Linked DNA regions of Sus scrofa. The protein of the gene in region 2 binds, or shares a complex with, the protein of the main gene of each other region. Links are inferred from orthologs where the notes say so. Each region holds a gene or a part of one and is shown on either strand. Other genes may lie near its edges. The genes, in order: UBA3, UBE2F and DCUN1D3.

Region 1 (9,613 bases), on a different chromosome or scaffold from region 2:
ACAATAATGACCAAATGTGAAATAGACTGCCCCAGGAAGGGATGAATTGCTCTTCAGCCGAAGATAAAGTAAATGATTTGACCTAGATGAGTTAGGCCCTCTTCCAATCCTAAGTAAATACGATTCAATGATTTCACTAAATTCCTCCTGGTTAAGAAGTAGTATGGATTCTGGTGAACTCAGTTCCCTCCTACCAAATTTGGGACACCTGGAAACTATTATTTCCATGGTAGCTTTACTAAACCTCAAATGGACAGTACTATCCAAAATCACTTATCAGTTATTTCCTTGAAAGCATTCCAATCCCTGAAAAGGGGATCATTCTAAGAACATAATTCACGACTATTCACTAACTTACCTTGAGTGAGTCTATACGTAACACCTCTAATATTATATTGTGATGCTCTCTCTAGGGATTTTTGGAAAATCCACTGAATATGGTCAGGATCATCTCCATCTAATGGAACCCCTTCTGTTAGGGGAAGGAAAAAAAGGAAAGGAAGACAGAAACATGTAAACAAAGACCAACTTATTTTTAATGTAATTTTCCAAATAAATAACATAGACAAATATCTTACGTAAATCTGGATTGTGAAATTAGGTTTATTACCTCCAAAAGGCTGCTCCTTAGGCCACTGCAATATCCTTACATACTCAATACAGTGCTCTGGTAGCCTGGGCATAGATGCAATGGTGCACATGGGAAAATTAACCTAAAACCACAGTTTTCCTTTTTTAGTGGATTTAAACAATAAATTATTTTAAAATGTAACTTCCGGTTGTGATCTAGTTTGTAACCATTTTCAATAACTCATCTTAGCCCTCTATTTACAGAAACAAAACATTTTATACCATGAAAATGCCATTTAGGAGTTCCTGCTGTGACACAGTGGGTTAAGAATCCGACTGCAATGGCATGGGTTGCTACTGAGTTTGATCCTCAGCCAGGCACTGTGGGTTAAAGCATCCGGAGTTGCCACAGCTGCATCCAGGGATTCAATCCCTGGCCCTGAGAACTTCCACATGCTGCGGGTGTGGCCAATAAATAAATAAATAAATAAAATGAATTTGAAAATAACAGATCTTCTGAGTCACTCCCCTTAGCTTGATCTGCCTAAAAAATAGGTCTGCTCTCCATTTACAAAATACATATAAATTTAAGCTTTGTTAGAGGAAAGGGCTGAATAAAATCTCGAATTGCTATGTTTACCTAATATTTATATCTGAAGGTATAAAATCAACCAAAACAAAAGAAAATTCACAGTGTTAAAATCTGGAGTTCCCGTCGTGGCTCAGCAGAAACAAATCTATTATCCATGAGGACATAGGTTCAATCCCCGGCCTTGCTCAGTGGGTTAAGGATCTAGTGTCACTGTGAGCTGTGGTATAGGTCGCAGATGCGGCTTGGATCTGGCATTGCTGTGCCTGTGGCGTAGGCCAACAGCTATAGCTCCGACTGGACCCCTAGCCTGGGAAGCTCCATATGCGGTTGGGGCAGCCCTAAAAAGACAAATAAATAATAAATAAAATAACTTTCAAGTAAATACTAATAATTATAAATCAAAATTTCAAATGTCCTTAAGTGAGTATGTAAAGAGCCCCATCTTTGGAAATCATTCTCATTCCTGGTATCTTTACCTCCTTGAAAAGACAAAAACCAAAGAAAATAGATTACAGCTATACAATATATAACTTTGTAATTGATCCTTTGATCCCTACTCTCCAAATAAAAAAAATACAAACGAATTATGAAAACAAAACAGTATCAAAATGACGTTATTCTGTCTGTATCTTTCCTCAAACAGAGCAAAATTTCATGCTTTATCATCTTTCTTCTTGGGATGATTTTTTAAATATGGTACCCCATATCTAGAAATTGTAAATATTGACTAGTCTTTCTTAATAATTCAACCCTCATTCCACCCCGAGATACTATAAAATAGATACAAGTGTTTTTATGATTACCTGCGGTGGGTACAGTTCCAGTGTGCATTCAATACAAGCAGTCATTCCTGGGAGAATTACTCGGGCATTTCCTTTAAAACCTTCTGTCCCCCCATCTATCAAAGGGACAATGGAGCTTGGATCTAATACACCATCTTCATAATTTAGAAGAGATATCTAGAAAAATTATTTGAAGGATTTATAAGGAGAACGGGATAAGAATTCAAAAATAAAGAAAATGCTATCAAGTAATTCTATGAGTCAATCACACTGTTGAGTACTAATATATCAAATCAAGGGACTATTTTCTTAGCAATTTATGTCCTCACCTGAAAATTAATGACTGGCAATATAATCACTGGACTATGTCTATCATTAAAAATTAAACTGTGATTTCTCAAAAATATGTCATGAAAGTCTCGTTTTCAGTCTGTTAAAAGCAGCACCAAGAACCTTAGAGAATCGTAACAACACTAAGTCTTTACCAGCATGCCATTTATCCATCTTCTGGCTATGATAGAGTCCAGTCCACATACAATTATATGAAATTCTACAAGAAAAAAACACAAATTTAGTTTTTTAAAGTATCACAGCACAAAATAATTCAATTTCTAAGAAACAAACAAACCCATTTTTCACTGTAATACACACACAGCTTCTAATCCTTGAGTAATCTTTACTCAAGACAGAATACAAATATGTGGCTAACAATGCCAACTAGAAATTCAAACAGTGGCATTCCCTTTCCGATCAATTGACAACCTCCTGAAAAGTCAACACCAAGAAATGAAGGCAAAGAAAGAAACAGCCTTCAAAAAGCTACCAATCTTCAGGAGTTCCCATTGTGGCTCAGCAATAACGAACCCGACTAGTACCCATGAGGATGTGGGCTTGATCCCTGGCCTCGCTCAGTGGGTTAAGGATCCAACATTGCCATGAGCTGCTGTGTAGGCTGCAGAAGTGGCTTGGATCTGGCATGGCTGTGGCTGTGGTTTAGGCAGGCAGCTGCAGCTCCAATCTGACCTCTAGCCTGGGAACTTCCATATGCCACGGGTGTGGCCCTAAAAAAGACAAAAAAAGAAAAAAAAAGCTACCAATCTTCAAATAAACAGCAACTAAAAACAGTAAGAATTTAGGGAGAATTTAACTTCAAGTGGAAAACTTACGTCGATAGAAAGTGTCGTTAAAATCCTGAATCTTGTTGAAATGTCTGAATACAAGTAAAGGAACTTAGGCTGAGTTTTTATCTTATAAAGTGAATTTGACAATGCCATAAGGATCACATTATAAATGTATATTTAAAACAAGACATAAGTCATCAATGTTCAAAGCAATGGAATTCAAGGAATCTGACAAAAAGAACACAACCCTAGCTCTCAGAAAAGCTTTTTCCTAAACACTCTTCCCCTAACTACTTAGCTTCTCTCATCTCCAAATCCCCATCATTATAATTCTGTCTCTGCTATACTTTCTATTCTGCTTCAGTTTTTATATAAAACTGTAAGCCCCAGGAAAGCAGAATGCACATCTTCAACCACCAGGACCAAGCTAAGCAGCAATTAACATTTGTTTAGTAAAGGAAACAGACATTGTATTTCCCATTTTAGAAAGGTGATTTTAGGAGTCAATATACTACACAAAATAACAAATTGCACACCTTAAAATTATACAATGTTATATGTCAGATAAGATCAAGTAGAAAAAAAAAGTTACCACAAAGCTAATTTTAAAAAAACAGAGGAGTTCCTGTTGTGGTGGTAACGAGTGGTAACGAACCCGACTAGAATTCATGAGGACATGTGTGTGTTCGATCCCTGGCCCTGCTCAGTGGGTTAAGGATCCAGCATTGCCATGAGCTTCAGTGTAATTTGCAGATGTGGCTCGGATCTGGCATTGCCACGCTGTGGTATAAGCCAGCAGCTGCAACTCTGATTAGACCCCTAGTCTGAGAACATTCATATGCCACAGGTACAGACCTTAAAGTGAAAATATAAAAATTTTTTAAATAAACATAATTTTTAAAAATAGATGTTTTAAAAGCTTTTTCAAGTACTTACTGGTCATTGGGTTTTGTTTTGTTTTGTTTGGGGGTGGTCAATGAATTCTTTCTCCCTCTCTTGTTTAACTCAGTATTCCAAATCTCTCTCTCCTTACCCAGCCCACACCCTATCAGCAGTCTTCCCCAGTCTGGAGGGTGCCAAGGGAACCCCATCCAAATTGGTGGGGAATGTGAATCACAGTACGTAGCATTTGAACAGAATATCTACAACAAATTTTTTTTTTTTTTTCTGTTAGGAGCAACAAGGACAATATACGTTTGCTCTAGATTTTTTTATTCTAGCCTAAAAATAAAGTTATGAAAATTCTAGTTCTCACCCACTCAGACCTCTATTCCTCTGGAATGCCAGACAAACAAGAGACAAAAACTACAGCTAGAAAAGGGAGGTCAACGATGGAGAACAGTATAGAGGTACCTTAGAAATCTATACATAAAACTACCATATAACCCACTATTATTGCTATCCCACTCTTGGGCATATATCTGGACAAACCTTGCCTTAAAAAAGACACAGGCACCCACATGTTCATTGCAGCACTATTCACAATAGCCAAGACATGGAAACAACCCAAATGTCCATCAACAGATGATTGGATTAGGAAATGTGGTATATATACACAATGGAATACTACTCAGCCATAAAAAAAATGACATAATGCCATTTGCAGCATCATGGATGGAACTAGAGACTCTCATACTGAGTGAAGGAAATTCGAAAGATAAAGACAAATACCATATATCACTTATATCTAGAATCTAATACATGGCAAAAATGAACCTTTCCACAGAAAAGAAAATCATGGACTTGGAGAACATACTTGTGGTTGCCAAGGGGGAGTGGGAGGGAGTGGGGTGGATGGGGAGCTTGGGGTTAATAGATGCAAACTATTGCCTTTGGAATGGATTAGCAATGAGATCCTGCTGTGTAGTGCTGAGAACTATTTATAGTCACTTATGATGGAGCATGATAATCTGAGAAAATAGAATGTGTACATGTATGTGTAACTGGGTCACCATGCTGTTCAGTAGAAAAAAAAATGTATTGGGGAAATATCAATTAAAACATAAAATAAAATAAAATAAAATGTTAGGTAGGCTAGGAAAAAAAAAAGAAAGAAAGAAAAGGCAGGTCAAAAGAGAACCAGAGCAAACAATGAAGGAACAATAGGAGATAGAGGAGCAAGGCCAAGAAATCCCATCTCCTAGAGTTCTACAAAACACCCAAATTTTCACAGATCTAAATAATGGGGATGGACAAAGAATGTGAACACTTGGGAAAAAAAAAAAAAAAAAAAAAAACCCTCTGTTTCTCCCTATAGAGATCTGTATTCACATTATTGAACTTTTTTATTTTTATTAAGATAGTACAGAGGGGTCCCACATTTCCTTCACTCAAGTTTCCCCCCAATGGTTACATCATATACCTACAGCACAATATCAAACCCACAAACACAACATGGGTACAATGTGTGTAAGGTTGTCATTCAACCACATGTAAAACTGTGTGACCACAATAAAGATACACAACTATTCATCACCACAAAGATCTCCCTCCAGCTACCCCTTTTACAGTCACACCTATCCCCTCAACCATCCCTGATCCCTGGCAATCACTAATTTGTTCTCTATCTAGATAACTGTCATTTGAAGAAGGTTATATAAATGTAATCATACAATATATGACTTTTATAGACACTGGCATTTTTCATTCAGTATCATGTTCTTGATATCCATCCAAGTCATATTTCATTAATTGTACTTCATTCTTTTTTATTGCTCAGTATTATTACAAGGTGTGGCTGTTATCACAGTTTAACAATTCACCTAGTGATGGATATTTGGGTGGTTTCCAGTTAGAGGGTACTGCAAATAAAGCTGCTGTGAACATTTGAGAATAAGTTTGTACGTGGACATAGTATTCATTTCTCTGGGGTAAATACCCAGGAATGAAATTTAGTCATATGGATGGTACCTGTTCAGATTTTTAAGAAACAGCCAAATTATTTTCCTGATGGCTATATCATTTTACATTTCCCGTCAGCAATGTACGAGTAATCCAGTTTTTCTATACTTTTGCCAAAACTTACTGATATTTTTTATTTCAGCTATCCTAATAGGTGAATAGTAATACCTCACTGTGATCATAATTTCAATTTCTTATACCTCATGATTCTGAAAATCTTTTCAAGTGATTTTTGCTATCTTCAGTGAAATATCCCTTAATATTTGTTGTCTATTTTCTAACTGCATCGTAATTTTTTACTGTTGGGTTTTCAGAGTTCTTTATATGTTCTTGATTGAGTCCTTTGTCAGAAACCTACTTCGTAAGTATTTCGCAGTCTGCAGCTTAGCTCTTCACCCTCTTTACAAGATCCTTTACAGGGCAGAAGTTTTTACTTTTGATCAAAATCAATTTAACATACTTTTTTCTTTAATGGCATGTTTCTAATGTGGTCTGAAGACTCTTCATCAAGCCCTATGTCTCAAAGATTTTTCTTATATGTTACCTTCCAAAGTGTTATATTTTATGCTTAAAACTATGATGCAATTTGAGTTGTTTTGTTATTTTGAGGTTTGAGATTCACTTTTTTGCCTAGTGACATCTGATGGCTTGACCACAATTTATCAAGAGATAGTCTTCCTCCCTTGAACTGGCTTTGTACCTTTTGTGACTATAAACTGGCCACACCTGCAGGAGCCTACTTCTGGTTTCTCCAGTCTGTTCTGCTAATCTCTCTCTGGCAATACCACACAGTCTTGATGATTGTGGCTATAGAGTAAGTCTTAAAATTGGATAGTGACTCCTTCCACTTCGATCTTTCTCAGCATTGTTTTAGGTGTTCCTTACCCTTTCTATCAATTTTAGAATAATCTTGTCTGTAGCAACAACAAAAAAATGCAGGCACTTTGATAGAAATTGTGTTAAACTTATACACAAATTTGGGGAAAAATAACATCTTTAGTATGTTGAATTATCCAATTTTTGAAAATAGAATATTTTCCCATTATTTAAATCTTCTTTGATTTCTTTCTTCAGCATTGTGCAATATCAACATACAAGTCCCATACTTATTTTGTTACATTTACACCTAAGTGTTGTTCCTCCTTTTCTTTTGAGTGGTTGTAAGTGGCACAGTGTTTTAAGTTTCAGTTTCCATGTGTTCACTGCTAGTATATAGAAATACAAATGATCTTTGTATGTTGATTTTTGAATCCTTCATAGTAAATCCCATTTCCTGAATTTCCATGATATACTAAAAGTTCCCCATATCCAAAGGTATAGGAATTAATAAAGTGTGTATACTCCTTTTTTAAAACATATTTCTTGTAAAAATAAATTTACTCCAACATGTCTTCCACATTTGGCTAATAATAACGCTGACTCTTTGCTGTAGTAAGACACAAAGATTAACAGGATCCAGCCTGTGAATTTAGAATCTAGTAGAGGAGACATACCATTGAAACTAAAATTAAGGGCAATAATGCAAAACAGAAGATGGCACTGGCTACATAACTAGATTTTAAAATTACAGCCAGGAGTTCTCGTCGTGGCTCAATGGTTAATGAATCCGACTAGGAACCATGAGGTTGTGGGTTTGATCCCTGGCCTCGCTCAGTGGGTTAAGGATCCGGCGTTGCCGTGAGCTGTGCTGTAGGTCACAGACTGGGCTCAGATCCGGCATTGTTATGGTTGTGGCGTAGGCCAGGCAGCTATAGCTTTGATTAGTCCCCTAGCCTGGGAACCTCCATATGCCGCGGGTTCAGCCATAGAAACAGACCAAAAAAAAAAGCATATAACTTTAAAAAGAAAAGATTGGAAGGACATAAAGCAAAGTGTTATCAGCAGTTATCTCAGTAATAATAAGCTCACTGCTGCTGATTTTCCTCTTCTTTTTGCTGATCTGTATTCTCTACGCTACAACTCTTTTACAATAATTTTTTTTAAAGCTTCAAAAAATTAAGTATTAAGTAACTTATTTTTCAAAAGGATACGGAACTACATTGCAATTAGGAACTCTGTCATTTAGAAATTCTGCAGCAACTTCAGCCTTAGGTCTTCCAACATCTTTAGGCCTACAGGAAAAATTATATTTCAATTATCATTCATGATACAAATCTACATGATCTACATAATCTACTTTCAAACATAAAAATATCCATGGTGAGTTTATCTGGAGGATATTGAGAAGGAATATTTTTACCTAAGTATTTCTGATGAATAATTAGCCATTCAACACTAAATGTCAACCCCTGGTGCTGTTTTAAACTAAGTATTTACAAGTATTGACAAATCTAAGTATTTAAGTGAAAATATGAACAACAGTGGTTTTTTTTTTTTTTTTTTAAGGTAAAGCATAACAGCATGTTCCCTGGCTACTTCTCACTATTGCATTTCCCAATGCAAGAAATTATCCCAGGAGTTCCCGTCGTGGCTCAGCAGAAACGAATCTGGCTAGTATCCATGGGGATACAGGTTCGATCCCTGGCCTCGATCAGTGGGTTAAGGATCCAGCGTTGCCGTGAGCTGTGGTGTAAGTCGCAGATACAGCTTGGATCTGGTGTTGATGTGGCTGTGGTGTAGGCCAGCGGCTACAGCTCTGACTAGACTCCTAGCCTGGGAACCTCCATATGCCATGGGTGTGGCCCTAAAAAGACAAAAAAAAAAAAAAAAAAAAAATTATCCCAGATCCAGAGATTTCCAAGTATCTGCCCTGAATCCCAGATCTTTAAGGTGTTACTATGCAAGTCTTGGTTGAAATAAACTTAGGGATATTAGGGATGCAAGAATGTTCACTTATCCCCTTCTTCCAGTGTGTGCTGATTAAGAAGTACATTTTGTGTCCCAGAAGAAGCCATAACCACGTTTTTGAAGGAATAATTCCAGATGCATTATCTGAAATTGCAAATGTTACCAATATTTTCAACAAGGCAAAAATTAAAGACCTCAAAAAGTCACTCCTAGATAAAAACCATAGCTACAGACAGGAAAAGGCATAAATTCTCGCTCTTCTACAGCTCAATACAAATGATATTTTCTTTCCTGGTATTTCACTCTCCTCACAGAAATAAACTATCCCCTCATGTATATATAGTTCAGTGCTTCATTAGCACTTTTTCACAACATATTTTTGGTTCATATAGAGGTCTATCAAACTACTAGACTATGAACGACTGGAAGAAAGTTACCATATTCTTATCTCTTTGTATTCCTTCCCATTTAAGCACATTTAATAATAAGTGAAAATAAAAAATCATTGTGCTCGATAGAATTCATATTTTATTTAAAATTGGAATTTAAAAGAAAAATGCTCTACCAAGTCAATTTTCTTCCCTCCACTAGAGCAGTATTCTTTTTTGACTGAAAACTTCGGACAAGAGTTTTATTCTGCCTTTGTCCTGAGTTGCAATAGAAATGACTCTGGTAAGTCAAGGAACTTGATTTCAGCCCTGCATTCAACTACCTGGAGAGTGTTCTTTATATATGTAAAGGAGATCAAACAGGATTTCAGGAATCTTTTAGGTTGTGCATTTTATGTGCTTTTACAGTAGAACTCAAATGAAAGAACTCCTAGATAGTTTCTGTGGGGACTGTACTTTATCATTCCCCAA
Region 2 (10,318 bases):
TTCAGGGGCAGCGGGAGAGCACGGAAGAGTGTCCCTTATTCCACTGGAGTCTCCCGGAACCCGAGGCCACCTGTTTCCAGCCCACCCCTTCACAACCTTGGCAGAGCTGTTTCTGAGAAGGTCCAACACAGCGCCCGCACACTCACCCGGTCCTCCCATTAGCCCTGTTCCTAGACCTGCAAACGCCATGGCACCCACCTCACTCAACCGGAAAACAGGCAGTTCTAACCAACTACTTAACCCTCTGTGCCTCCTGGCTCCTTATACTAAAAAAAGTACACATGTCACAAAGTAAGAAGTGCTGCAAACTCTCAGTGCCTTAAAGGCAGAAACTGTTTCTTCATCGTCGTAGCCTCAAGTCCCCAGGAAACTGCACTCAGTAGCTCTAAGTCTGGTCAATGAATAAACGCAAAAGTTCCAGACAAAGGCTCGCATATTGACACACACACACGGTATAAACCCTTCCCCAAAGCCTCCGGCCCTAGGACACTGTGTTATCACTTCTGAGAAGAGAACGGATTTTGCACAAGCCTCCCCTCAGGCTGGGAGGGTCTTAGGAGACGGCCACGCTCCACTCCTCCCTCTACAGATCAGACGCTCTGGAGCGAGGCGTCCGGAAGAGAGAAGAAAGCCCCCCCGCCAAGCACCAGCCAGGGAATGACAGCGCCGAGACCAGAGATGTGAGCCCGCTGGTTCCTGGCACCTATTCCTCCCACTGGCATCCTGGCAGCTCCTGCAGAGAACAGTCCACGTGCAGAAGACACACCATGGTTTTAATACCATTTTCTTGCCACGAGCACTCCCATGGTGTGTGTGCAGTACGAACTCCTCTGTCGTAAACGATAATCAATTAATATTTTGAAATATTTTCAAACAGGTGTTTCTATTCAGCAACAGGCTGCTTCGTTTCCCCGAGCGCCTCCGGCCAGGCCTCCTTCTGTTTGGGGTATAAAGCTGCCCACAGGGTGGTCACTACCTTTAACAAGCAGCCTGTCTCGCACAGAAACCCGCCGAGTGGAGTCGGAGGCTGCGGGGGACGCCCGGGACCCCTTGAGACCGTCGTCCCGCTTCAGTTTGCTCGCCAGCGTCAGCATTCCTGCTGCCTTTACCCTGAAAGACCAAACACAGGGTGAGGACGCATCTCCGGACCGTGGCTGGACAGCGAAGACAGTGATGTCAGGGGGGTTTAATTGTTTCCCCATAATTTAGCACGTAAGGTACATAAAGAAGACTAGAGTCCTTCGTAATGAATCTGGGGGTTCTCTATGCCTCTCTAAATATGATTTTCTAAAGTATGAATGAAAGTTTCGCTTGAAGAGCCAAGCACATAGCACTCGGTGGGCACCAGGCCCCGGCATGTAGCAGTGACCATGCTCCCCGAGCTCATGGTCTAGGGGAGCCTCTGCTGACGGTTCTACGGGGGCCCAGCACAGCCCACCGGTATGTCCGCCCTTCCTGCCGTGGGGACCAGGCACCCCCGGTGTGGCCCCAGTGCCTGGCCCATCGCAGACGGGGGGGAACGGGCTCCGGTGAGGAGGGAGCCTCGCTTTCTCTCCTCCTTCCTTTAATAAAGGTGTGGCTGGACCCTTAATAAGCACCTTCACATTCACGTATGTTGTGCTGTATTTACAGTGTTAGGCAATCTCAGCATAATTCAGTTATAATTAGTGCCCCACACTGGATTCTTTTCACTGGCTGCTTCCCACCCACCGAGTTTCAGGTGCCCTCTCGAAAGCTCACTGGGAAGGACCACAAAGACCAAACACAGGGGATGCACTGACCACTTGGGAGGAAGGACTGAAGGTGTCCGCAGCGTTTACAGAGGGAACCATCCTACCGAATCTGCCTTCTCTACGTGAGCCACCCTTCACCTGGCAGGCCTCCTAGCCCTTCTCGCTTGTTTTACCAGCTGGAGAGAAGTTCTGGAACTTCTTTTGATTGAGGATGAAAATTGGTCACCAGCTCAACATTCCCATACTTTCCTTTGTGGCTTTAACATAATTTCCTTCTGATACCACTCTGATCATTTTCAAAAGAAAATGATCTAAAACTTCCGGATGAAAAACGGACGTGAGCACACAACGCTTGGTTTGAGTTCAAGATCTTTAAAGGCGAACCGTGAGAGTAACCTACTCCCACTGGTATTTTTAACCACTCTAACCCAGGTCCTCACAGAGCTTTTACACCATCTTCTGTGTACCCTCCAGCCCTTAAAGACGGTCGGACTTCATTTTCTGTTATGTGTACCATGAAAACAACGTATTAAATATGGCCTTTTGAACTAACTGCACAGGACCCACGCACAGACACACACACGCCTGGTCCCCTCATGCACCCCTGGTCTAAGTGCTTCAAGAGACAGTTCCACCTGACAGGAGCGCTCACAAGCTCCTAGAATTTCCAATCTGGGGAGGACTTCTCCCCCAGATCCCACTCTTTGTCATGGGTGTGGACCCTGGGACACCTGGGGCCCAGGAACTGGGCTGTCGGAGGCCACTCAGAGGCTACAAGAGGTCACCGCAGACCCGCTCGTTTCCCTCTGAGGATGACGGGAATGTTTCCGCCCCGAACAAGGGGGTGATTTCAGGCTATACACACACCAAAGTCCGATCAAACTGCATGTTTAAATATGTACAGGTCAGCGTGCTTCAGCTGTCCCTCAGTCAAGGTGACGAGACGTGACAGTTTCTTCACTCCCACTCTGCCACGCTCTCTCCTCAGCTGGACCTACACGGAGGACCAAACCACCAACGCTCAGCTCAGCTTCACCTGCGGCAGGAACCAGGGGCTCACAAAGGAAGCTCACCAGGGAGGGCGCCGGGGAGCCAGGAACGCCTGTGGGGGCTCAGCCCACAAGCCACCAGAGGCCGCAGCACCGTCTGGAGCCGGGCGCTCCTGGTCGGCCTCCACCCGCACCATCTGGCCCGCGATCCCTCGCGCAGGTCTGGATCCCAAGCAGTGTGTCCCCCCCCCCAGCAAGCCCCTGCCTCGCACCCACGCCTGAGCACATGGATGCGTCGCCTGATGATAGGCCGAGAGATGCAGCTGTCACAGGTCCACTTGGTCTTCAGCCGCTAGCGGACCCTGGCACTACGCACACGGCCAGCAACAAAGCCCAGCACCGGTAGAGAGAGCTCGGCAGGCGGCAGCCCGGGAAAGTCCTCCTACGGGGCCCGGCGGGAAAGCGGGTCCCAGGGCACGCGACTGGTCCACGCTCAGCTCCTTGAGCACCTGCACAGGAGGAGATGCTCAGAGGGTCCCGGCAAGACTCACACACACACACACAAAGGCTCACACCCGGACACTCTTCCGTGTCGCTGCAGTTGGAGGTCCCTGCTTAATTCGCGTCTCCTCACTACCCCATCCTGAACTCTTCGCTGCAGGCAGAGTGTGCCCCATACTCAATCCCATTTTGAGTCAGACTGCTGGTTTGCAACTCTCAACAAGTTTATGGCCCTTAATAAAATACACTGGGCACTGGCTGTGCAAGACAGAAGAAAATAACACCGGTGCTTTGTTTTCCTCAGGAAGACAAGACTTATTTTCCTAACATTCTAAGCCATCTACACACGGGGACCATCTATCCTCCAGCGCCTGTCCCTCTCCCACACACGCCACTTCGGGACAAACCAAAGGTCTAATCTGGGACTACTTCAGCTGTTAAATTAAGTCTATACAAAGAGATCTGAACAAAAATAATTATTCAAGCTGTCAATTAACGGAACACCTGCAGTTTGCTTCAGAAGTCTCTCCTTAACTATGCTTCCCGCCTTGCAGGACTGGTTCAAAACTAAGCTTCCCCTTCACTGCAAATGACACTTTGACGAGGGCAGCATTTTCAGTAACAACAGATCAACTACACAGAAGAGCACCCACAGTCTCTAACTCCACTAGTTGAAATCGGGCCATTTAAGTTCTTCCTCTGGGCGGGACGTGCTCTCAGACTGTTCAGAGATTCTGCTGTGCTATTTCCTAGTCTCATCCTCAAGTGTTTACTCAGTGCTCCTGCCCGTTGTGGCCAAATCAGGTCCGGGTGACCGTCAGCTCAGTGGGTGGGGAACTCCTCGTTTACAATTCTTCCTGCCCTGGACAAGTCCCAATCGAAGCTTAAAAGATGGAACTGCAGGTCACTAGGGGACAACCCACATCTCCAGCCAAAGCGGCCCAGATCGGGACACACAAAAGTCCACACCCCACCCTCCCTCTTTAAAACGCCAGGGCAAGGTGGCTGGCTGCCCAGTGACCTTTGGAGCCCAGCCCTTTAATTTTAGCGGTAAACCTGCCGCCTCCTGAGTGGCAGCTGTGTCGGGGGTGGAGGTCCTCAAGTCCAGACCACCTAGGTGGCCGTGGTCTCTCTCTCTGAACACGGCTCCCACCATTCCGGTCCCCTGCCTTCACCCCCTTGCCCAGCCAGGGGCCTCTGCACGAGGGAGGTGGGCCTCCTCCGTGTTCCTCGCCAACCCCGGCTCATTTCTGGAAGCTTCTGCTCAATCTGATATCCAGGTCTGGAAGGCCCTCCCTCCCTTCGCCGCCCCTAATGCTGCTTCTTTAGGATAACAGGCTCCTCCATCTCCTCCACGAAGCCTTCTCTGGCCACTCCAGTCCCTCCCGACCCCACTCCGGCGCTGGACGGAGGCAGAGAGGGGCGGGCCCGATCCGCTCCGGGGACAGAAGGAAGAGGCAACCGCGACCCAGGGAGCCGAGGGCCACACCCAAGATTACACACCAGCGGAACCAGGTCTAGAATCCGGGACTGGGCCGTAGGGATTGGTCCAGGATGTCCTCCCCCATTCTGGGCCCCGGCAAGATCCTCCACCCTAGCCGTGCTGCCCCGGGTTGTCCGGAGGCCGCCCGCAAGTTGGCGGGGCGGGAGCCCGGCTCCTCCGCACCCGCACCGCCCCCTGGCCTAGCCCGATTCCCCGGGAGGCCGGGAGGCCGCCCGCCCGCGCCCGACTCCCGCTGCCTCCGGCCACGTCGGGCCGGTGACCTTGGGCCCGCTGGGCGCTGCGCTTCCTCCCCGACAATGCGGCCGCAGCTCCCCCGCGACGGCGGCCACAAGCGAGGCCGTGTGTGCCCGGCACAGGTCGGGGCTCCGGGAGGGCCGGCCCTCCAGCCCCGCCGCGGCCCGCGCCCCGGCCCGCGCCCCGCAGCGCCCGCCCACCGGCCCTCGGGCCCCGGCGCCCGGTCGTGAGGAGCGGCGCGGCCTGAGGCGGCCCCGGCGCCGCCCGCCCGCCGGGTGCACCGGCGCCGCGGGAACCGAGCCGTCCTCTGGCCGGCGGCCGCCCCTCGCTCGCCGCAGGGCCGCGCGCTCCTCACCTGGGCACCCGGAGACAGGCGAGGCGGGACCGGCGCCCAACACCATGCCCGGCCGGCCGGCGGCGGCGAAGCGCAGCCCCTCACAGCAGCACCGGCTCCGGGCGGCGGGACCGGAAGTAGCGGGGCGGGGACTCTGCCGCTCTCGCCCGCGGCGGCCGCAACAGCAGCTGGCGCTTTAAAAAAAAAATTCAAAGCCGCGAAGAACTTTATTTAGAGACTGACACGCGAACAGCAGAGCCAGCGGGCCGGGGCCGGGGTAGGCAGCCGGCAGATCCGGCCCCTCTCATTGGCAAGGAGCGCGGCTGGGGGGCGGGCACGAGCCTGAAGGCCTCCGATGATTGGCCAATGGCGTCCGGGGGCGGGATCTCCAAGTCCTTTCCGCAGCGGCGCGGGTTCCTTTGCGCTGCGTTCCTGCTTTCATTCATTTGGTCGTTTGGTAGGCCTGGGCCTGCGGCTCAGAGGTTCCCCGCGCAGCGTGGCCTGCTGGGGCTGCCAGGTCCGAACTGACTGCCCCGGTGGATGGGGTGCCCGCTATGTGCCCATCCCAGGGCTCAGGGTGCAGAGGACCAGGCCGCCCCACAGTCCGCGGTGTCAGGAGTGAGGGGGGCGGGGCGATTAGACCTGCAGCCACCAACCCCCAACCCCGGGAAGCCTCGGGGAGCCTGCAGTGGAGTGGGTGGGCTCTTTCCTGTTGTCTTAGGGTTTATTCCTTCTATTATCTCTTACACTTCCGTGACGTACTTACTTTAAAAAAATCCATTTCAAGTTGTTCTAATTTCTGGTTTGCTGAGTACTAATTATTCTCAAGTTCAGGTGTGTCTGGTTAATAGGTGCTCTGGCGGGGGTCGCCAGCCTCCTGGAGGAGTGAGCCATCTGAGAGAAGAGGTTCACCTCGTGGACGGGGAAGAAAGAGGCAAGGAGTTAGAATTTTATTTCCAGAAGTCCCACTGAGAGGTTTTAAACAGTGGAGTGGCAATTTCAAGTTTCTTTTCCAAAAGAGCCTTCTGGCTCTGAGGGAGCTGGTGGGAGGGGAGCCAGACAAGAGTCAGGAAGACCAGTTAAGAACAAAATTCATGGGATTCCTTCTGTCTGGGAACAGCTTCGTCCATCTTCACTGGGCTACCTCCTAAATTTTCCCATGCTTGGATCCACCTGCTCCGAGTGGTAAGGTGCAGGTGCCCCTCTGTGACTTTGCTGGACCTCCGTGCTCTCCTCTCCCTGGTGCTCAAGACTGTTGATGCCCGTTTCCCTATGCTCAGCTCCTCAGGCCTCCTCATCTGTGTTTCCCACCCTTCTAACCTCCTCCCCAAACCTGGTACATAACCGGGTCAAAACACATTGCTGGATAAGGGCTGCGTGTTTGTAGCCAGAGTCCTGGCGAGAGAAGATAAGACCTTGAAGCAGGGCAGCGAGTGAAGGCACACGTGGGTTGGCTTGAGCGCTTGTCTTACTAAGGAGAATTGTCTACACACCGTTCTGAGCCCACAGTGGCCCACCTCTCACTGCTGTGGGCAAATGAAGCCGCTTCTAGCTCCATTTCATGAGGCTGCCTCGTGCCTTCACCCGAGCCTTATTTAGGGTTTACTAGGCTCGGAAGTCCTGTAATCCTCACAGCAACCTCATGAAACGGGTATTTTATTATCTCCACCTTACAGATGAGGAAGCTCAGAAGTTACGTGTCTGCCCGACATGGCAGAGCTGGGATTTGCCCTCAACCAGTGCACCACGTCCCTTGGGCAGCAGGTGCGGCCATCAGCCAGGACTGCGGCAGAGTTGGCGTCCTGCTTCCTGGAGAAGCAATTTGTTTTCAACCAGGGCTCTTTCAGAAACAGAACTTTCACTGGCTTAAGCACAAAAGATTCAGAAGACTAGACATGCTCAGAGACTCTAAGGAGAGAACGGGGAGCCTGGCCTCCAGCTCTCAGTGCCTCCATCTGGGTCTTGGCCTGGGACAGGGGCAGTGGCGGGGCTGGCCTTCTCCTCCCAGATGCCTCCAGAACTGGGGTCTGGCTTCAAACACACCTTTATAAACCAGGCCATAGAGGGGCCGTCTCTTCCCTTCCAGTTTCACATTCTCTGGGAGAGAATGGCTGGGTTCAGATCATGTGCTCACCGTGTGTGTGTGTGTGTGTGTGTGTGTGTGTGTGTGTGTGTGTGTGTGTGTGTGTGTGTGTGTGTGTGTGTGTGTGTGTGTGTGTGTGTGTGTGTGTGTGTGTGTGTGTGTGTGTGTGTGTGTGTGTGTGTGTGTGTGTGTGTGTGTGTGTGTGTGTGTGTGTGTGTGTGTGTGTGTGTGTGTGTGTAAGCCCATACATACAGGAGGAGGGGGAAGAGGACCAATTGTGGGCCTACGATAGGGAAGAACCTTTGTATTCTGTTACAAGTTAATCAGTAAAGGCATGGTGCCTATAAGCTTAAATTATACACAATGGCCCATCTCTGGGGACCTCGCCTCCCAGCAATGAGCATCGCACTCAAATGCCTTTGTTTCCTTCCGAGGAAACCTCTGACCAGGCCCACCTGTGAATGGCTGCAGGCAGGAAGAAATTAAGAGACCCCTCCAGAGTCTGACAGAACCAGGACTTTTTACTATAAGAGAACCCCTCCCCTTTTAGTATAAAAGAAGCCTGAATTCTAACTCCGGGAAGGTGGTTCTTGCGACACTTGTCCACCGTCGTCTCAGTCCGCTGCCCTTCTGAGTCAAGTTGCTCTTCTTTGCCCCAGCAACTCAAGTCTTGATTTATTAGCCTGCTGTGCAGCAAGCAGCACGAGCTTGGACCCAGTAACGAGCCTCCAAGGGGGGTACTGGTGCCAGTGGAAGCCCAGGGGGACACAGTGGGCCTTCACGCCTCCCCTGAGAAGCTCGACCCAGGGCCTCCGGCGGGAGCGTGGAAGGGGAGATGCCCCTATCTTTTCAGCCATTCCTGCCTCTGGACACCACTGCACGAGCTGTCCCAGGAGCTGTCCAGGCCTGTTCTGGGCCTCCCTCACCAGGTGACAGGGCACCCTTCAGCCTGGGGCAGCCTGCCAGCTGCTTAACATCGCCTGGGTGTCTGTGAGGTCAGGGCAGGGCCTCGGGGAAGCCCCGGGGGACGCCTTCGTTAGCCATCCACTCACTCTTCCCTCTTGCTCATGCGGGATGGGGCAGAGCTCCCCCCATCAGTAGCCCCCCATCAGTGTAGACATTCCTGGCACCATGCTTCGGTGGGGGATTGCCCTGAGATTAAACCCGGCAGCAGAGCCAAGCCCCCCTGGTCCAGGGCTCGTGTCCCTTCCGCTGCCCCACACTGTCCTGGGGACTCCAAGCCTCCACCAGGGCAAGACCTTAGCGATGCTCCAGTTGCAGCCCCCTGCCTGGGTGGGAAGCAGCCTGGCAACACTAGGTGTAGAGGAGACATGGGGGAAGGGGCCAACTCGGCCCTCAGCTGGCACCAGCTCCACCTGTTCGGGTATTGCTCCAGGTTATCCTGGGGCACACATCCTACCTCCAACCCAGGGCGGCTCTCCTGGGGAGCAAGGCCCAGGGCACTGAAGAGTGGGCCTGGACACACACAGGCCCGCGCCCCTCCAGGGTCTTCTGAAATCGGTTTCAGTAAGTCAGGAACCATATGGTGAACTTGAAGGGGACAGAACGTACCAGGCGCAGACCCTGCCCTCTGAGAGCATGAGCTCCTTGGAGAACTGGCACTAGGTAAAGCCCCATGGAATGGGGGGATACAAGTGGGACTCCCAAGGTTTGCACTGCACAGGGGAGCTCAGTCTCCATCGTCCCACCTGAGTTTAGAGACTTGAAGCAGGGAGAGAGGGAGGGTGGCTTAGAGGCCAATGGGGAGGCTGAAAACTATCAGTGAAAAATGCCGCTGCCACAGCAAGAAACAAAGGAGCTTGCAGCCATCAAGTCACCACATTACAGCCGCCCTGACGAGACTCAGGATGAGAAAGTGCAGGATGCTGGCCCGAGGGCTGAGGGCCCTTATACAAGCCTCAGCCCCTCGGCCCTTCTGCCATGTGAGGACACAGAGAGAAAGTGGCCCTCTACGAATCAGAAAATGAACCTCAATGGATACCAAATCTGCAGACACCTTGACCTTGGACTTGCAGCCTTCAGAGCAGTGAGAAATACATTTCTGTTGTTTATAAACCTCTGGACTGTGGTATTTCGATAAAGCAGCCTACGTGGACTAGGATGGGGAGACTGTCCTGAATTATCCAGGAGGGCCATCAGAGTCACAACGTCCTCATGAGAGCGGGACCTCCGAGTCAGTAGCAGGGATGTGACCAGGGAAGCAGAGGGTGGGATGACTTGAGCAAGGGGACCGAGCGAAGGAGCCCCAGGGGCCTCTAGCTGAAAACAAGCAGGAACACATCTCCCCTGAATCCTCTGGAGGGAACAGGGCCCTGCTGACCCCTTGATTTTGGATTTCTGATCTTCAGAACCACAAGAGAATAAATACAGGTTTTGAGCCACTGTTGGTCATGGCACCCATAGGAAGCCAATGCACCACATCACCAGGAACAGGGCTGGGAGTGGCTGCTGGTGGCTTCACGGGCAGCCTGGGATCTAGGCATCCAGGAAGCCCCCCTGGAGGACTGGGCAGGTGCCATCAGCCCGGGGCTCATCATGACACATTCACAGGGATTCAGGATGCTCAAACCACTGTTGCAGTGAAGTACTGTAGCCTGTGTTTTACATTTTGTATAATTTCTAGAGTTTTCCTGGCTCTAAGTATCTGACATTGTCCTCTTCAGAGAGTGCTATGGGGAAAATGCCACAAAAGACTGTTCTCTCTTTAAAACACCCATGATTGAAAATGGACATCCGGAGTTCCCGTCGTGGCGCAGTGGTTAACGAATCCGACTAGGAACCATGAGGTTGCGGGTTCGGTCCCTGCCCTTGCTCAGTGGGTTAACGATCCGGCGTTGCCGTGAGCTGTGGTGTAGGTTGCAGACGCGGCTCGGATCCCGCGTTGCTGTGGCTCTGGCGTAGGCCGGAGGCTACAGCTCC
Region 3 (9,613 bases), on a different chromosome or scaffold from region 2:
CTTCAGCTTGGGAGGCATGAGCCTGACATTGACTTGGTCTGCTTTCCCTGGGAGAAAATTTACTTCTGGCTCCTGGTCTAAATGTCTGTTAATGTTATAATTTCAAGGCTGCAATTATTGAGAAGGTGGCAAAATTTTACAAGTACTAAATTATAGATGGATCTTCTAGCAGACCAGTTGAAAGAGTTGATAGTCTTCAGAGAAATTACCTCACCCTGACCCAGAAATTTCTAGCAATTCTTTAAAAAACACTTTTTAGTTCCTTAAACTACTGTGATGAGTTTGTTACGTATCAGTGCAGACTTTTCTTTTTCATTTCGCAATTATTTCTAAATAATTGGGTAAATCAGCCTTTTTTTTTTTTTTTTTTTTTTTTTTTTTTTGCTTTTTAGGGCTGCACCCGCAGCATAGGAAGTTCCCAGGCTAGGGGTCGAATCAGAGTTCTGGCCTACGCCACAGCCACAGCCACACCAGATCTGAGCCGCGTCTGTGACCTACACCACAGCTCACGGCAATGCCTGGTCCTTAACCCACTGAGGGAGTCTAGGGATCGAACTCAAAACCTCCTGGTTACTAGTCAGATTCGTTTTTGCTGCACCACGACGGGAACTCCCCAGCCCTTCTTTTACAATGGAGACAGCATCTTGGAAGACTAAGGGCCCTATAGGACGTTGACGTTTAGTGCGAACTTGGCTTTCCTTCCACACCGCACCTGCTGAGGGGGGTAAAGAAATCAGTGACTGGGACCCCTGGTGTAGAGAACAGCCTTGATGGACGGCTCCTCTGGGTGGAGAACGGGTGTTTCATCTATGTGTGGTGGGTCCCAGAAAGGAGTTTGAAGAAATTAGATGACATTTTACCTTGTTATTTGGCTAGGATTCTCTTTATAGCCTTGAATTTGCAAATTCTTTACATCTTTGGGCCATTATGACACCATACAGTTGTTTTGGATGTGGCCACCCCTTTTTCCCCCACCACTCATCCTACATCAAAAGAAAATCTGAGAATTTGGACATTAGAGACGAGAGGATGGACATTTTACTTGCACCTTCTGAGTTAACACAGCTCCAAGTAACTTTCTTATGTGATGGCAAGTTAGCAAGATAAATTTCCTTTGGAGTATTTCTGGCAAAACTTTAGTCTTCCTTTTTTTCTTGGCCGTACCTGTGGCATGTGGAAGTTTTGAGGCCAGGGGTCAAACCCATGCTGCAGTTGCCACCTGTGCCACAGCTGTAGCAAGGCTGAATCCTTAACCTGCTGTGTTGCATGGGCACTTTGCCTTCCGTGATGTGTCCTGCATGTGAATCAATCTCTTTGGGATCTATGTTACCTTAAGAATTTTAGGAATTTTCCTTAATGCTTCTCCATATGTGCTCTAGCCTTTGCATTTCCAAGGCGAAAGTGTAAGCTTGCAAGAGGGGATAGTGATGAACTTGGGGCATCTCCCCTGATTCATGGTTGGTTCACTGAAACAGTGCTGTCCCAACGCACAGGCCCTGGAGAGGAGCCTGCATCCTGCATCTCTCTGTCCAGTGCTGATCATGCCCTAATTTCTTTCCAGGTTGGCTGGCTCCTCTGGCTGATGGCATGTTGAGGCACATGGACCAGTGTCAACGAGGGCATCCAGTCCAGAGGGGGCCACTCTAGAGGTCAGGCCACCAGCATCATGGGCCAGTGTGTCACCAAGTGCAAGAATCCCTCATCAACTCTGGGTAGCAAAAATGGAGACCGTGACCCCAGCAGCAAGTCATACAGCAGGCGGGGCGCAGGCCACCGCGAGGAACAGCTGCCAGCCTGTGGCAAGCCAGGTGGGGATATCCTCGTCAATGGGACCAAGAAGGCAGAGGCTGCTGCTGAGGCCTGCCAGTTGCCAACGTCCTCGGGAGATGCTGGGAGGGAGCCCAAGTCAAATGCCGAGGAGTCTTCCTTACAGAGGCTGGAAGAACTGTTCAGGCGCTATAAGGACGAGCGGGAGGATGCAATTTTGGAGGAAGGCATGGAGCGCTTTTGCAATGACCTATGTGTGGACCCCACGGAATTTCGAGTGCTGCTCTTGGCTTGGAAGTTCCAGGCTGCTACCATGTGCAAATTCACCAGGTTAGTCCCAAGGGTCAGCAGGTGAGCAGAGGAGGTGAGAGAGGCCTACTGAGCAGTGGTGTCCAGCTAGGATAGACCTAGGCTGACTTCTGAGGGGTTTGAGTAAATCTTAATTTCCTTTTCTGACCAATTTCTCTAAAGCTATTCAGCCTCTGGAGAACTGGGCAACCAGTCATCTTTGTCTGAAGTTAAATGAGGAGTAATCCACGTTGCCAAGGTGCCGCCCCGCTCACTGCTATTCTAGACTTTCTTTTCTTGTAAATTCACTCACGTCCTCACTCACTTGATATTTATTGTTCACTTATCACGTGTCAGGCACTGTGAGTGCCAGTATAGTGAGTGCCACTGGGGATATGCCTCAGTCACTTCATGAAGCAAGTTGCCCCTTTTGGCTCCACACATAACCCTTAGCCAGCCTATGTGCCAGCTGGCCCCAGTGTCAAGCAGTAGTTGTGTACATTGTCATGCATGCCTGTAGAGGTTGTGTGTGGGAGATGGCACGGCAGGGCCACCCTAAGGTTTGGTTTGCAGAGCACTGAGTTAATAAAGGAAGAAGAATTGACTTTGAGAACCTCTCAGTATCATTTCTTGCCCCTGGGTAGGTTACCTGACAACAGACCTCAGATGTTCTTTCTCAGCAAATACAGAAATCTCTGAGATTATCACTGTGAGACTGTGTTGTCAACTGCAAGCATTATATAGATATTAAAGATACACAATTTTTGTGGGTTTTTTTGGCCTCACCTGTGGCATGCTCAAGTTTCCAGGCCAGGGATGGAACCCGTGCCACAGCAGTGACAGAATGAGATCCTTAATCCACTGAGCCACCAGGGAACTCCCCACAAAATTTTTTTTTTTTTTTTTTTTTTTAGGGCTTCATCTGCAGCATATGGAGGTTCCCAGGCTGGGGGTCCAATCAGAACTACAGCTGCTGGCTTACCCCACAGCCACGGCAAAACGGGATCTGAGCCGAGTCTGCAACCTGCTCCGCGGCTCACAGCAACACCGGGTCCTTAACCCACTGAGCCAGGCCAGGGAACAAACCTGCGTCCTCATGGATACTAGTCAGCCATCATCACCACTGAGCCATGACAGGAACTCCCAATTTTTGTCTTTTAATAACAGAACTTTGGAGTTCCTGTCATGGCGCAGTGGTTAACGAACCCAACTAGGAGCCATGAGGTTGTGGGTTTGATCCCTGGCCTTGTTCAGTGGGTTAAGGATCTGGTGTTGCCATGAGCCATGGTGTAGGTCACAGACGCGGCTCGGATCCCGAGTTGCTGTGGCTGTGGTGTAGGCTGGTGGCTATAGCTCTGATTGGACCCCTAGCCTGGGAATCTCCATATGCCGTGGGTGCAGCCCTAGAAATAACAGAACTTTGATCTCTGGTGGTAGAGTTACCCAGGTTCATCCAGAATCTTGGCTCCAGAAATTTCCCTTGGCAGGGACCAAAAAAATTCCCCAACAACCCCTAGAGAATCAAAAGGAAAACAGGAAGAGACTCTCCCCATCTGGGAGGAGAATCTGTAACTTAAATCACCATTGCAGGGCGGGAAATAGGGCACAGAGCAGGAGACCTGCTTATGAATGAACCATTATCAGCTGCCTACCATGTGCCAGTCACTGTTAGGAGCAGTTGACATATTCACTTGTTTAATCCAAACCCTATGAAATAAGGTAGTATTCTCACCATTTGAGAGGAAGTAGGACCACAGTTAGTGAGGGGTTGGGAATTCAAATCTAGCCAGCCAGCCACACAGCTATGCTCTTAATACTATATTGCCTCTCAGTAAGTGATACTATTTACAATTATTGTGTCCCTCTTTCCTCTTGCAGGAAGGAGTTTTTTGATGGCTGCAAAGCAATAAGTGCAGACAGCATTGATGGGATCTGTGCACGGTTCCCTAGCCTCTTAACAGAAGCCAAACAAGAGGATAAATTCAAGGATCTCTACCGGTTTACATTTCAGTTCGGCCTGGACTCTGAAGAAGGGCAGCGGTCACTGCATCGGGAAATAGCCATTGCCCTGTGGAAACTAGTCTTTACCCAGAACAATCCCCCGGTATTGGACCAGTGGCTAAACTTCCTAACAGAGAACCCCTCGGGGATCAAGGGCATCTCCAGGGACACTTGGAACATGTTCCTTAACTTCACTCAGGTGATTGGCCCTGACCTCAGCAACTACAGCGAAGATGAGGCCTGGCCAAGTCTCTTCGATACCTTTGTGGAGTGGGAGATGGAGCGGAGGAAAAGAGAAGGGGAAGGGAGAGGTGCACTCAGCTCAGGGCCCGAGGGCTTGTGTCCCGCGGAGCAGACTTAGTGGCTCTGTCCCAGGCGCAGCAGCACGGATCTGCCCGCTGCCCTGCAGCCAACTGAGGAATTGGACCTTTCTGGAATTTGCTGAAGATCCGGATATTTTCTACTTTACACCTTTCTCTGCCTTGTATCTGAAAGGGCTCTAAAATGCTGTATCATGTTTTAGGCACTTTCTTCACTTTTTGGTTATTTTGGTTATTTCTTTTTTGGGGGGGTTCCCCCAAAATATTTGAACCTGGCTAACTGTTGTTTATCTTTTTTTTTTTTTTTTTTTTAAGCCTTCAGATAGAATAAGCCTGCCATTTCTTGCACAAATTAGATTTTTTTGGGGGGGCGGGGGAGGGTGTAGAGCAGGGAGGGGGGAATGGGACAGTTAGGTTGAATTATCATTACAAAATGACACAGTGCCAGATCTCAGTTTTGGATATTCTTGATTTTCAGGGCAGGTCTGTACTGTGTGTAGTGCTGTTTACATGGTTGAATTTAGGTTGTAATAATTATTTTTAAACATTATGCAGAATTGAATAGCAGTGTTAACTGTTAACCACATTGCATTAATTCCCAGGCAGTTTAAAGCTCTTGGAGAGCCAAGGCCAGCCAAGGGCATTTGTAGTCTGGGGACAACCCCCTTTTAAGCTAATTTATCTGAAATCCTTATTTTCCTCACTTCTTGCTCATTCCTCCTTTGACCTATTGCATTTCATGTTGAGTTTATCCATCAACATGCTGCACCTGTCAGTCAAGTGAGCAGTTTTTTTAGAACACCTTGTACTGAGAACCACTTAAGCATCGAATGCAGAGAAAGCAGTGCTACCTCAGTTTTGCTGGAAGTAGACTTTGATAGTTTTCTTTCTTTGATGAATTTTCTGTATTTTCATGTTGTAAGTGGAAATACTTTTTTTTTTTTTTTTTTTTTTTTCATTTGCCTTGGAGCCAAAGTTTCTGTTCCTGGTGGTTGGCAAACTGTGCCTGCCGGCCAACTGACTTGAAGGAAAACTGTGGTATGGAGCTCTGCTTGAATTTTTTTTTTTAATTTTTTTGAGTATCATCAGCTTACTTGTCTGGCAAGTGCAGAAGCCTGGGGCTGGCCTGAACTCTGCCAAACAAATATAGAAATGTATTTAATAGTTAAATGTGTGCCCTTTCCCTTCTTGCTGCACCCATGTTGTCACTTAACCCCCAGAAGTTATTTATTATCTTCTTTGTTACTGTCAGGCTCATTTGGGGTATGTGATGACTGTTTAGGTTTACATGACTCTCCTCTCCTTTCCCTGCCCCCAAATATGTATATATACATATATAAGATATGTATATATTTTACCTATATAAAATATATATATATACACATATATGTATCTATTTTTTTTTCTTTGCCTGCTAAAACTGGCTATAAAAGGGAGCTGCCTTCAATATAAAAAAGTATAAGAAGAGTGCCAGGGAACATCATAAAGGAGGTTTTGAATCTGAATTTGGACTGTTTTCACTGAAGATGAAATTTCTCAGCCCTTTCCTCACAAGAGGGAGTCTCAGTTCCCTAGTGCTCGCTCCGTAAGGCCAGCTTTGGCCAAACTGCCACACAGGAGCTGACTGGTCCTCCCTTGTTTCAGTAGAGGGTCCTCTTGTTATTTTTACACTTAAAAAAAAAAAAGTCATGAAACTGTACTGGAGGGGTGGGTGGGAGGAACTTGTACAGTTCAGCTTCCAACACTTTGGAACAGACTGAAAAGAGAATCTTTTAAATAAAAACTTATAAAAATATTTATATTCTTGGGGTAATGAGAATTTATTAAACATTTGGACCCCCATCTCCAGGCATGTTTCTCAGCCTGGGCAGGAATTGCTTATTTTCTTTTATTAGTAGCCTATGGCTCTGGGCTCCCATCTTTACAAAGATGATTTAAGGAGTTTCTACAGTTTTTCTAAAATTGGCACTGACATAGAGTACATACTTGAAGTTTTTCTTTTTTTTTTTTTAAATCCTAACAGTTGCCCCTTCTACAGGATGGATGGGAAACTTAAAATCACTTAAAGTCAGCTATAATAGGTTAGCAATACTGCTGGAAAGCTGAACAGGGCCCCAGTCCAGATGCTAACACACAAGATCCTTGTATAAAAGTTTCTGGGTGTCCCAGCAGATTCTGTGGGCTCAGCTGTAGTCGGGGTCCCTAGACTGAGGTGTTAACAAGACCACCTTCTCACCCAGTTTTTCCGATTCTCGATTGGGTAGAGGTTGAATAAGGGTAAAGGTAGGCTGCTCCTAGCCAGCTAAGGATTTTCTGTCTCAGATCAGAAGGGTATATGGGAGTTCCTGTTGTGGCTCAGCAGTAACGAACTCAGCTAGTATCCATGAGGACATGGGTTTGATCCCTGGCCTTGCACAATGGGCTAGAGGACCCAGTGATGCTGTGAGCTTGTGGTGTAGGTGTCAGAGGCTCGGATCCTGCATTGCTGTGGCGTGGTGTAGGCAGCAGCTACAGCTCCCATTCGACCCCTAGCCTAGAAACTTCATATGCTGTGAGCGCAGCCCTAAAAAGACCCCCCAAAAAAAAGAAAAAAAAAAAGGTGTATGGCAAGTAGGGCCCAAAAGAGGTAGACTTCCTCAGCCTACAAGAAGGCATGCCATTCATTAAGTATGCTATAAAGTGTGGATTTTTTTAATTCAACTATTCAGCTTCCCACCCCTCACAAAAGAGCCATTTAAATTTACTTTTGGTTGTATTTTAATGATACATATGTTACAAAAATGTGCAAATGAGAAGCCAGAAAAGAGAATGGTCAGGGAGGGACTTAAGTCTCCTTCCAGGTATGTGTCCTTGATGCAAGGAATTCAAGCTTCTGCAGTAGCCTGGGCCAATGCCTGACTTTTTTCTTGACAATAGGAAAAGCAGTTTTGCTGCAGAGAGATCCAAGGTAGAGAACGTATGTAAAGTTTGCATTTACACTTCTGGGAAATGAAAGGTCCCTGTTCCTCTTTGCCTAGAAGTAGCTTTACTGCTTAATGAGCAGTAATTGTGTGGAGGTCAATGCATGCCCCTCAGGTAAGCCAGTGCACTCTTCACTTTAACAGGACACCAGAGTGGTGTCGTGGTGTGGAGACAGGAAGGATGTGGATGCTATTTTGAAAATATGCAGATATCTGAGTGACTACAACGAACTGGGTATGTTGGGAAATTGCTTGTTTTTGGCAAGTGACTGTGTGTGATATTTCTTTAGCAATTGATTAGAAAGCTATATGAGATTAAGTTGCTTCACTGAATTGCTCTTTCCCCATCCCTGCCAAATTTGAATGTGTCATTCTTAACCCCACCTCCTGTAATGACATTTTGCTATGCTTCAACTAGTTGCCTCAGCAGTTCTGCCAGATGTGCCCATATGTGAGCTGGGTCCAAGATCCCATTTCTACCCTTCTGATTAGAAGGAAAAGCTAGAGCTGGGTAGAGATCCAAATTTCAACAAAGGCCACAGGCACAAGGAAATCCAACTGAAAACGTACAAGACAGTGTTTTCAATATTAAACTTCCCTAACAAAGGCACAAACTCACCCAGGAAAGGAAGAAAGGATTAAGCCACACACTATTATTTGGTCTTTAGGGACTGATGCCAAAATTCAGTCCTCAGGCTGGAGCCTGTAGGGTTAATGTGATGGCTTCCTATATTATGCCAAATTGTATAAAACAGTGGTGGAAAATCGCTAGGATAAGGACTTGGTATAAAAGTTTAAAAAACAAAAGAGAAAATCTGTATTTAGTACTGTGTTTGGTTTGCCACATTTAAGACAGTCTTCAGTGCCCTGAAGCTCAAAGGTAGACCCAATTATACAACAATTATAAGGGCTGGAAGGAAGCTGCTGCTACGTTTTCTTGCTGTAATCACCTGCTTTGCCATTTTTCTTGTGTCTTAACGTTTGGTTAATGATGACCTGGACATCTTTAACTGACAAAGCTCGACAAAGCTCTTCCTTGGGGGACTCCAGCAGTTTGTTTAAACAAAGTGGACTGAAAAGGCCATTAAAGTGTTATTAAAGTGTTAATGGGGACTCATTTGAGAACCTGTGACACTGATCTTCCTTAGCCCACAGTCTGTTTTCTCAATTATATAAAGGTTCCCACCCAATCCCCCTCGAGAGTTTATTCCTTTGCTAAGCTGTAATTATAGCATACACCCAGGTTAACCTCATTTGGCGTTACATCACAGCGAGGATCTACAGGTATTTTTCTTCACTGAAAGACAAAATTGAGTACTGGTTGCAGAAACAAGGTTGGTTCAAATAGCTTTGAGTAACCATCAGATCCTGCTTCTGACTCAGGTGCTGGGGCATGATATCCTCCCTGTCCTCTGCTTGGAAACTGAGCCAGCCTGCACTTCCACCACCCACCTCCGGACACAAATCTTGGATATTGCCAAAGGAAGCCACTCAGCAGCTGCTGTTTTTTTCCCCCAAAAAAAACATTTATTCTGGGAGAAGAGTCTTCCCTCTGTTCCTGGTCCCAGCCCCAAGTCTGTGATTAACTGCTCATACCTGTTGCACTAATGAATGATTCTAGGTTTCAAAGGGAGAATTTGAAGCAATAGGCAAATGGGGCTTGGAGAAATTGGTCCTACAGATACCCTGCCTTAACTCGTTGAGGTGATGAGTGACCCTCCACGTTTGTGGATTCCTCTTGGTTTGTGACCAGTGTGCTCCTTGAAGTTGTACAAACTTGTTGACAAAAGTCAATACTTTGTATTCTCTGCACTGTTGCACTCTCCAAATGGCCCCTTGGATATTTTTATTAACTGGTTATATACATTTTTGTCGTTGTCTACATTTTTTGATGTTTTTTTATTTGGAAGGTAACCTGCTGTTGGACCTAATAAATTTGTTTACTTGACTATTGACAATTCTGCAAAAAACAAAAACCAAAACCAAGCCCCAAACAAAAAAATGACTTCATTTTGGGGTGAGATTTACCCACTGGGTGCCTCTTCCAACATACTGGATTGCAAATTCTCTGTTCTGGAAAATAATCCAGATAGTACAAGATCCTTAGACTACAGACATGGATGTTGACCTCCCAGTCACCAAACTTAATGGCTTTTGGAGGCCCATACATTTAGGTAAAAAGCAAATGAGTCCTCACAGAGTCACTACCTAGTCTCACCTTAGCAACTGATGTGGATTCCCATGAAGAATAAAAAATGAATTAGAACACTGTGCTAA

Evidence for each region.
Region 1: the proteins of UBE2F (region 2) and UBA3 are in contact, whole or in part, in a crystal structure (PDB 3FN1), measured with the Homo sapiens proteins. The link is inferred for Sus scrofa from reciprocal best matches to the Homo sapiens genes UBE2F and UBA3. Residues at the interface, in NP_001265234.1 of Homo sapiens: Thr27, Arg28, Arg29, Val30, Asp34, Lys35, Val38, Lys39, Val41, Ala42, Glu45, Val54, His55, Phe56, Pro57, Asp58, Pro59, Asn60, Leu62; in NP_003959.3 of Homo sapiens: Ala401, Thr403, Thr405, Leu406, Glu407, Gly408, Asn410, Arg411, Thr412, Ser417, Val418, Thr419, Ser420, Ile421, Arg424, Thr425, Gln442, Glu443, Ala445, Ala447, Asp448, Val449, Thr451, Pro452, Gln453, Thr454, Leu456.
Region 3: the proteins of UBE2F (region 2) and DCUN1D3 are in contact, whole or in part, in a crystal structure (PDB 4GBA), measured with the Homo sapiens proteins. The link is inferred for Sus scrofa from reciprocal best matches to the Homo sapiens genes UBE2F and DCUN1D3. Residues at the interface, in NP_001265234.1 of Homo sapiens: Leu2, Thr3, Leu4, Lys7, Leu8; in NP_775746.1 of Homo sapiens: Glu108, Glu109, Glu112, Pro122, Thr123, Glu124, Met139, Cys140, Glu194, Ile204, Ala207, Leu208.

The regions. Positions count from the first base shown.
Region 1 is NC_010455.5:50,485,578-50,495,190, forward strand, and holds part of UBA3 (NEDD8-activating enzyme E1 catalytic subunit), read right to left. Parts: intron 8,078-9,613; coding exon 7,997-8,077; intron 3,155-7,996; coding exon 3,111-3,154; intron 2,495-3,110; coding exon 2,430-2,494; intron 2,122-2,429; coding exon 1,966-2,121; intron 714-1,965; coding exon 611-713; intron 473-610; coding exon 359-472; intron 1-358. UniProt on the Homo sapiens protein: Catalytic subunit of the dimeric UBA3-NAE1 E1 enzyme. E1 activates NEDD8 by first adenylating its C-terminal glycine residue with ATP, thereafter linking this residue to the side chain of the catalytic cysteine, yielding a NEDD8-UBA3 thioester and free AMP.
Region 2 is NC_010457.5:137,562,398-137,572,715, reverse strand, and holds the start of UBE2F (NEDD8-conjugating enzyme UBE2F), read right to left. Parts: upstream 5,463-10,318; 5' UTR 5,317-5,462; intron 5,106-5,316; exon of another isoform or gene 4,727-5,105; intron 1,114-4,726; exon of another isoform or gene 1,111-1,113; 5' UTR 1,095-1,110; coding exon 977-1,094; intron 954-976; exon of another isoform or gene 1-953. UniProt on the Homo sapiens protein: Accepts the ubiquitin-like protein NEDD8 from the UBA3-NAE1 E1 complex and catalyzes its covalent attachment to other proteins. Together with the E3 ubiquitin ligase RNF7/RBX2, specifically neddylates cullin-5 (CUL5).
Region 3 is NC_010445.4:25,182,464-25,192,076, forward strand, and holds part of DCUN1D3 (DCN1-like protein 3), read left to right. Parts: intron 1-1,561; 5' UTR 1,562-1,666; coding exon 1,667-2,097; intron 2,098-3,933; coding exon 3,934-4,417; 3' UTR 4,418-7,200; coding exon of another isoform or gene 7,201-7,306; 3' UTR 7,307-9,613. UniProt on the Homo sapiens protein: Contributes to the neddylation of all cullins by transferring NEDD8 from N-terminally acetylated NEDD8-conjugating E2s enzyme to different cullin C-terminal domain-RBX complexes and may play a role in the cell cycle progression by regulating the SCF ubiquitin E3 ligase complex, after UV damage.